Macaca fascicularis: one gene and its partner. The protein of the gene in region 2 binds, or shares a complex with, the protein of the main gene of each other region. Links are inferred from orthologs where the notes say so. Each region holds a gene or a part of one and is shown on either strand. Other genes may lie near its edges.

Region 1 (3,809 bases), on a different chromosome or scaffold from region 2:
TTTAAAAAGATGAGTTTGTGTTAAAGTAAGGAAAACAGTGGGAGCCAGAAACAAATACAGGCAGTTCCCTTATCTGAAACATTTGGGGCCAGTAGTATTCTGGAATTCAGAATTTTGGAAGGTTTTACAGGGACAACACATTAACAGAAAGCATATTAATTAACACTCTAGCACCTACCTGGGACAATACCCCATAATCAAAAACCATCATATTTCTGCAATAAGTACAAACTTGCACTCATATAGGATTAGTACGAGCACCCAAGACAAAAATTCAGTTTTAAGTGGTACCAGAAGGGTAGTGACACAGGCCCCAGCTGCATGGCAAAAGAGAATGCAAAACACCTGAAATAACCTAATTTATACAGAGTACATAGAGAATTCCCACAGATAAAAGTCCAAGAAACATGTTCACGGCCAAAAATCACTAAAATCACAAGCCACCAAGAGTCTGAATCTGAGGAAACAAAGAAATGCTGAATCAGGTCCACAAAAACTGTAGACAGTAGAATTATCAGACAATAAATACACATTTAATAAAACTAAGGAAATAAAAGATAGGATCAAAAGTGGGATGAAGTGTGAAAGGAAAAAGAAACTACAAAAAATGATCCATAGAAATAAAAAATTCAGTAACTTTTTTTCTTTTTTTTTTTTTTTGAGACGGAGTCTCGCTTTGTTGCCCAGGCTGGAGTGCAGTGGCCGGATCTCAGCTCACTGCAAGCTCCGCCTCCCGGGTTTACGCCATTCTCCTGCCTCAGCCTCCCGAGTAGCTGGGACTACAGGCGCCCACCACCTCGCCCGGCTAGTTTTTTGTATTTTTAGTAGAGACGGGGTTTCACCATATTAGCCAGGATGGTCTCGATCTCCTGACCTCATGATCCACCTGTCTCGGCCTCCCAAAGTGCTGGGATTACAGGCTTGAGCCACCGCGCCCGGCCAACTTTTTTTTCTTTGTTTGAGCTGGGGTCTTGCTTGTTGCCCAGGCTGGTCTCAAAACTCCTGGGCTCAAGCAATCTTCTCACCTTAAGCTTCCTGAGTAGCTGGGAGTACAAGTGTGTGCCGCTTCACCCAGTTTACAATAACTTTGTGATGAAAATAACATGCGGCCAGGTGTAGTGACTGATACCTGTAATCCCAGCACTTTGGGAGGCCGAGGCAGGTGGATCACTTGAGGTCAGGAGTTCAAGACCAGCCTGACCAACATGGTGAAACCCCATCTCTACTAAAAATATAAAAATTAGCCAGGTGTGGTGGTGGGCGCCTGTAATCCCGGCTCCTCAGGAGCCTGGTTGAGGGAAGGAAGGAGGGAGGGAGGGAGGGAAGGAAGGATGGAGGGAGGGAGGCAGGAAATAACACACTGAAAACTTGATTCAGTAGCAGATTAGACCTCATTTTAGTTCACTGAGAATGAGCGAACTAAACATCTGAAATCACTTAGCCCTTTGAGACACAAAGAACCCTTAAGATGAAAAAGAAGAACATGAAGGCTGTCTAATCAAAATCCCAGGTAATAATTAAGAGTATAGAATTTCTAAACTAATAGAGAAGAAAAAAAACAGGTGCTCTTGTCAAAATGCTTCTAGGTCCACATTTACTGTACAACCTAGGGGAAAGTTATCAAACCTTTCTAAGCCCTGGTTTTCTCATGTGTAAATAAGATAATCATGCCTATTACCTGCACAGAGGTCTTGTGACTAATAAATAAAATCCAAATATACACTAAGCACAGAACTTTTTTTTTTCTTTTGAGACGCAGTCTTGCTGTTACCCAGGCTGGAGTGCAGTGGCGCGATCTCGGCTCACTGCAAGCTCTGCCTCCTGGGTTCATGCCATTCTCCTGCCTCGTCTCCCAAGTAGCTGGGACTACAGACGCCCGCCACCACGCCCGGCTAAGTTTTTTGTATTTTTAGTAGAGATGGGGTTTCACCGTGTTAGCCAGGATGGTCTCGATCTCCTGACCTTGTGATACACCTGCCTCAGCCTCCCAAAGTGCTGGGATTACAGGCCTGAGCCACCGCGCCCAGCCCTAAGCACAGAACTTAATAAATGTCATTTATTGGCCATTTTAAAAATAATTTTTAAAAATTTTATCTGCAAATTGCAGTAAAATATTAATAAAATTAAGACTGAGGGAGGAAATAAGGCTATGTGGATAATGGTTTGATTTCAAAATCAGTGGAGGAGAAAAGTAGGACATTTGACCCTTCTTCATTTACTAATTCTGGTAACACACTTCTTAGAAGGTCCAGTCACTCCAGATATCCCTCCTGCTCCTTTTCCATACACTGATCTGACTCTACTACACTCTCCAAATTCTCCCAAATTTACAAGTAGTTAGAGGAGGAAAAAAAAGATTCCAATCATTTTATTCCTCATCTGAAGTTCTGCTTTGTAAATTAAAAAAAGAAAGTGAGACACACACGTACACACAAGAAAATCACATACTCACTTTTCATTAGTTTTCCTGACAATTCTTTTAGCGGAGAAGCAGGACTATTTCTACTGGCTACTGTAAGTGTAGAGGAAGATTCTTGGGTTTCCATGGAAACTTGATGAGTTCCTGCTCTGGCCCTTTCAAGATGGAGAGAATGGGCACTGTCATATTCCTGGGAAAGCAGCAAGTGATTCTGAGTACTGTTAGTTCTATTATTCAGTTCAATTCCTTCTGAATGAGTCATAAACAACTGTGCTGAGCCGGAATCCTCCAATCTCTTGTCAAGAGAATCAGTTAAAAAAGCTGCTGTAGTTTCGTGCTGTTTAGATGGAGAGACAGGCTCAGCCAGTGAGCTCTGCTTCACTGTGTTTAGACTGTGTGCTCTTATTCGCGACCAAGTTGTTGAGTGAAAACTTTCAGCCTCTAACCAAAATTTCACCAAATGCTCCATTCGCCGAAGTTCCATGAATTGAATGAAGTAAGGGAGGACAACAGTGTCGTGCAAGACTTGTTCAAGGGTCTTAGAAAGGCTTGATTTGGTCTCTTGAGTCTGGTAGTCCAGACAAGATCTGCCTAAAAGATAGAAGCAAAAGAATTAGCAGTTCGGCAACAAATAATTTCAGATTGACAGATTAGTCAATCACTTTTAGCAATAACTGGTACCAGAGACCTTGAATAAAGTTTACTTCCTACCAACTAAAATAAATTTAAAAAACTACAAATACTATGCTTTTGGATTCTAAACAAAGTACAATCCTCCAAAACTTGCCTAAATTATTAAAAAGTTCTTTGTAACTCAATAATTCTCATATCTCTTTTAATGGCAATTCAGATCATGCAAAAAAATTTTTTTTTTTTTTTTTTTTTTGAGACTCTTCACTTTTGTTGCCTAGGCTGGAGTGCAATAGCACAATCTCGGCTCAATGCAACCTCCACCTCCCGGGTTCAAGCGATTCTCTTGACTCAGCCTCCTGAGTAGCTGGGATTACAGGCACCCGCCACCACGCCCAGCTAGTTTTTGTACTTTCAATAGAGACGGGGTTTCACCATGCTGGTCAGGCTGGTCTCAAACTCCTGACCTTCGGCAATCCATCCGCCTCAGCCTCCCTAAGTGCCGGGATTGCAGGCGTGAGCCACCGCACCCAGCCCAGACCACATAAATTCTTAAGAAAAAAAACTTATGATACTAGTTCCAAAGAAAAGGGGCCAATAAAAATATTAAAAACTGGCCGGGCGCGGTGGCTCAAGCCTGTAATCCCAGCACTTTGGGAGGCCGAGGCGGGTGGATCACGAGGTCAGGAGATCGAGACCATCCTGGCTAACATGGTGAAACTCCGTCTCTACTAAAAATACAAAAAACTAGCCGGGCATG
Region 2 (4,478 bases):
AAAATATAAAAATTAGTCCGGCATGGTGGCAGGTGCTCATAATCCCAGCTACTCGTAAGGTTGAGGCAGGAGCATCACTTGAGCCCAGGAGGCGGAGGTTACAGTGAGCTGAGATCACGCCACTGTACTCCAGCCTGTGTGACACAGCGAGACTCCATCTCTAAATAAATAAATAAATAAATAAATAAATAAATAAAAAGTTATCCAGGTATGGTGGCGTACACCTGTGGTCCTAGCTGCTTGGAGGGGCTGAGGTGGGAAGATCACTTGAGCACAGGAGGTCAACGTTGCAGTGAGCTATGATTGCCCCACTGTACTCCAGCCTTGGTGACAGTAAGATCCTGTCTCAAATTAAAAAAAAAATAATAATAATAAATAAATAAATAATTATAAGAAAGAAAAAGAAAAAAAATGGGTGGCAAATTAAGGTCAGTCATTCATCCTCCCCCCCACCACACCAGGACCATTTTGGTGCCCCTACTCGTTGCCTCCCCTGCTCACCACCACCCTCACTCAAGCCTTCTTGACAGCTCCCTGCCCTTCTTCCCTTTCAGCCTGGAGCAGCTGTGTTCTCTGTCCTACTTCTAACCAAAACCTACTCTCAGGAGAAGACTTGGTACCTTTCTTTATACTTGAGAGGACATTCTGTCCTTTTATCTTCTAGTTATTCTATCATCAGTCCTTTCCTTATTATGAATTAGCAAACACAAAATCTTTGTTCCCCAGGGTAAAGAAAAGAATTTTAAGAGGTGGTTTTTCTCAGCCCCCTCAGCACCCTAGTCTATTTCTAACACCAACAAGACAAAACAAGGGAGAGGAAAGGAGAAGGAGATGGAGGACCAGTTGCAGGAGAGAAAGGAGAAAAAAATCCACAGTGGGGGTGGAGGAAGATCTCTGACTGCTTAACGACCCATCCTGTGGTTTTCAAAGACTGAATATAACAGCTATGAAAGTGTGAGCAATGACGAAACTGGAGAGATGGGGTTTTAACAAGATGCAAGAACAATCTGAGGACTGAGAGCCATTTCAACGTGAGCCCCCAGCCTGAGAGCAAGAAAGAACTTCTGTCTGGAGGTAAAAAGATCTGTTGGGGACCTGGGGTCCAGGTGGAGGGACGGGATGGTTGACAGAACTGCTCAGGCAAGGACAGGCTTCCCATGAGGTCCCTGAGAAACCTGCCTTTTGGAGGGAACTGTCCTCTGTCCTCTGGACCCTGGGGAGAAGGTTATTTCTGCCTGCCAGACCAGCATGCTCGCTCTTCTTCCATGGGCATTCAGGGATCCTGGCCCCACTCTGACATTCCTCAAATGGAGGAATTCCTCAAATTGCCAGAGGAAAGTTACCAAAGTTTAGATCAGCGTTCTGCTGGAGCTCTTCAAGGCCTGGGTTGAGACAAGCCAGGAGGCGGCCCGGGGCTTGGAGCTGGCCCTGTGAGGCACCTCTAGGGGAAGTTCACGTCCTAGGTGGTTCACATCGTGGACCTCTTGGAGGTCCATGCATAGATTCATTCATGGGATTTGTGAATTTTTGGGAAAAATACATCTTTATTTTCACTAATCTTTAATTGAAAGTTAGCACTTGCTTCAGTTACGAATATAGACAGTGAACCACAATAGAATTTGCCATCAATAGAAAACACAAATATTTTCAAATCTCATTACAGTTGTTATAGATTTCTCCAAATGTCATTAACGCTCAGCACTACTGCAGAATTACAACAGTTACTAGGCTGATACCAGATCTAAAGAAGCGTGTGTACTGCTCTATCACACATTCTTCTCATGTTTTGACAACTGTCTTGTCATCATTTGTTCCCTTTATTATCCCATGTATCTTATTAATTTTTAAATGTTATTCTGAGAAGGGACTCCATATGCCTTCCCAGACCACCAAAGAGGTCCACGGCCCCCTTTACGTCAGGCGCCTGCTTTGGTGTGTTGAGCAGGAAGCCCAAAATCTCAGACAAGAGCTTCAAGGGCCCCCCAGCCCAAACCTCTGTTTGCTAACAAGTCTGGTTCTACTTTAAGGCAGTTGGGGTTGTGGAGATAGAAAAAGAAGCGCCTTCACAGCAGCAAACGAGATCTTTCTGGGCATCTTTTTCAGTGTTGTGGGAGATCCGTATTCAGAGGTATTTGTGGAGCTCAGAGCTGACCTTCCAGCTCCTCTGAGAGGTTAGATCCGGGCTCCGGTGACAGAGGAAATGGAGTCTCTTTCTTGCCATCTTGTCCCCATCCTCCCCAGAAAACCTCTGGCAAAGCTTTATGTGTCATCTAACCATCACCACATTCCTGTGAGGGAGCTTTAAACACAAGAGGAATGTGAGACTGAGCGAGGTCCAGCAATGTGCCACAGGTCACACAAAGCTTGAATTTGAACCCAGGAGCCTACGAGACTCCAGGACCCCCTCCGGAGGTGAGGGAGGGGAGAGTTTCCTGCAGTCTGTGAGCTGTTGCCTGAGAGAGGCCCCGGGCTCTGGGGCCACCAGCGCAGCTCGGGAGCCCCGGGGAAGATCAAAGGTGAGGATGCCAACTGCACGGGCACCCACCCCCGTGCCCGCGCTGGGGCTCACAACGTTTTAAGAGGGGAGACCCGCCCCTGGCGTGTAGTGGGCCCAGAAAATTCCCAGACTTTTCACGACCACCCGCTCTCCCCCTATTGAGGGCCAGGTGCCGCTCTAGTACATGCTGCGTCCCCAGGACCCACCAGGCCCAACTTTGCACCCCCTCAACTCCCCTCCTAGTTTAGGCTTTCCCTGTCTAGCCCCCATGCTCGCCGGATGGTCCATGGCTGGAGTGACCAACGCAGGGCAGGTTGGGGTCACTCGGCTTTGGCTGGAAGGCAGCGCCCTCTAGCGGCCAGAGTGCGGAATCAGCGCCGCCGGCTCCGCGCTGCCCGGCCTGCGTCACACCAGGGTACTCCCCTCCCGGGCACCAAGGTCACTTCCCAGAGCATCCTTGCCCAGTGACCCCGCCTCCCCCCAGCGCTGGTGAGGGGCCCACAACAGACTTACACGCTCTTCTTCAACTCAGCCCTAGGCACCGCGAAGCCTGGCCACTCCAGCGGAGTGACCGGCTGCATCAGCCCCTCCGAGCCTGTCTGCCTGTCCTCTGTCTCCTTGGAAGCGGTCCCTACCCTGCGCCCCTCCCATCCCGCTGCACCAGTCCCTTAGGAAACACGCCTAGAGAAGGGACACGACCTTGTCAACATTCCATGGCTATGTGGTGCGGAGCCAGGACTGGAAGGAAGCCCGATTTCCTCAGCCCACCTTAATTCACCAACTGTATTTTTTTTTTTTTTTTTTTTTTTTTTTTTTGAGACGGAGTCTCGCTCTGTTGCCCAGGCTGGAGTGCAGTGGCCGGATCTCAGCTCACTGCAAGCTCCGCCTCCCGGGTTCATGCCATTCTCCTGCCTCAGCCTCCCAAGTAGCTGGGACTACAGGCACCCGCCACCTCGCCCGGCTAGTTTTTTGTATTTTTTAGTAGAGACGGGGTTTCGCCGTGTTAGCCAGGATGGTCTCGATCTCCTGACCTCGTGATCCGCCCGTCTCGGCCTCCCAAAGTGCTGGGATTACAGGCTTGAGCTACCGCGCCCGGCCATCCACTGTATTCTTTAGGCACCAGCTCCCCAAAGCCCACAAACATCTATGAAGGCCTAAGTCCATTGCCATCTTGTAGCCTTTCCACATCACTCATCCAGAATTTCTCCTTTCCTGCCCCTTGATACTTTATAACCTTATTACTGTTCTTAGTACAGTCGTTCTTGTGTTACAGCTGTTCGTGGATGAGTGGCTGTGAGGAGAGGGACAAAGAGGACTCCAAGAGAAAGACTCTCATAACTTGGGTTAGAATCCTGCTCCCCAACTTAGGAGCTGTGATTTTAAGCACGTCGCAAGGCCTCTCCAAGCCTCTATATGCTTCGTGCAAATAATAAATTTTAAAAAATAATAATGGCTTAGTGTTTTATAACGACTAAACACAGTCTTGTAGGTAGATGTGCCTGGAACACTGTCCATTGATTCCAATATACGAAAGCATAAAAATAATCATAGCTATCATTTATTGAGCCCTTACTCTCTGCCAGGCATTATGCTAAGTAGTTTACACAGGTTACCTCATTTGACCCTCACCACCCTAGGAAGAAAATATTTTGTCACCATTTTATAGGTCAGTAAACTCATTTTCAGAGAGGTTAAGAAACTTGCCCAATATTACACAGATAGTGTCAAAGCCAGATCTCAAACATGCTGGTCTGACTCTAGAGACCATTTAACCACTAAAACATCTTTGCCTCTGCTGTGTTAGTGATCTCTCTGTGCCCCGTGGTGCCTGACACATTATAGATGCTCCGTGTTTCTGAAATATGTCTATTTATTAAAAGCTGAGCATAGTGCCTGGCCCAGGAGCCTAAGAAACTTGACCAAGTCATGCAACTATTAAGTTTTCGGACCAGGATTTGAACACAAACACTCTGGCTCTAGA

What was found.
Region 1: the proteins of PDZK1 (region 2) and AKAP10 are in contact, whole or in part, in a crystal structure (PDB 3TMH), measured with the Homo sapiens proteins. The link is inferred for Macaca fascicularis from reciprocal best matches to the Homo sapiens genes PDZK1 and AKAP10. Residues at the interface, in NP_001188254.1 of Homo sapiens: Asn386, Gly387, Tyr388, Gly389, Phe390, His391, Leu392, Asn393, Ala394, Ile395, Arg396, Phe402, Lys404, Tyr436, Glu437, Val440, Ile443, Gln444; in NP_009133.2 of Homo sapiens: Pro655, Leu656, Glu657, Lys658, Ser659, Thr660, Lys661, Leu662.

Annotation. Positions count from the first base shown.
Region 1 is NC_088390.1:19,690,972-19,694,780, forward strand, and holds part of AKAP10 (A-kinase anchor protein 10, mitochondrial), read right to left. Parts: intron 3,011-3,809; coding exon 2,453-3,010; intron 1-2,452. UniProt on the Homo sapiens protein: Differentially targeted protein that binds to type I and II regulatory subunits of protein kinase A and anchors them to the mitochondria or the plasma membrane.
Region 2 is NC_088375.1:113,700,791-113,705,268, reverse strand, and holds the start of PDZK1 (Na(+)/H(+) exchange regulatory cofactor NHE-RF3), read right to left. Parts: upstream 3,110-4,478; 5' UTR 3,011-3,109; intron 1,075-3,010; exon of another isoform or gene 964-1,074; intron 1-963. UniProt on the Homo sapiens protein: A scaffold protein that connects plasma membrane proteins and regulatory components, regulating their surface expression in epithelial cells apical domains.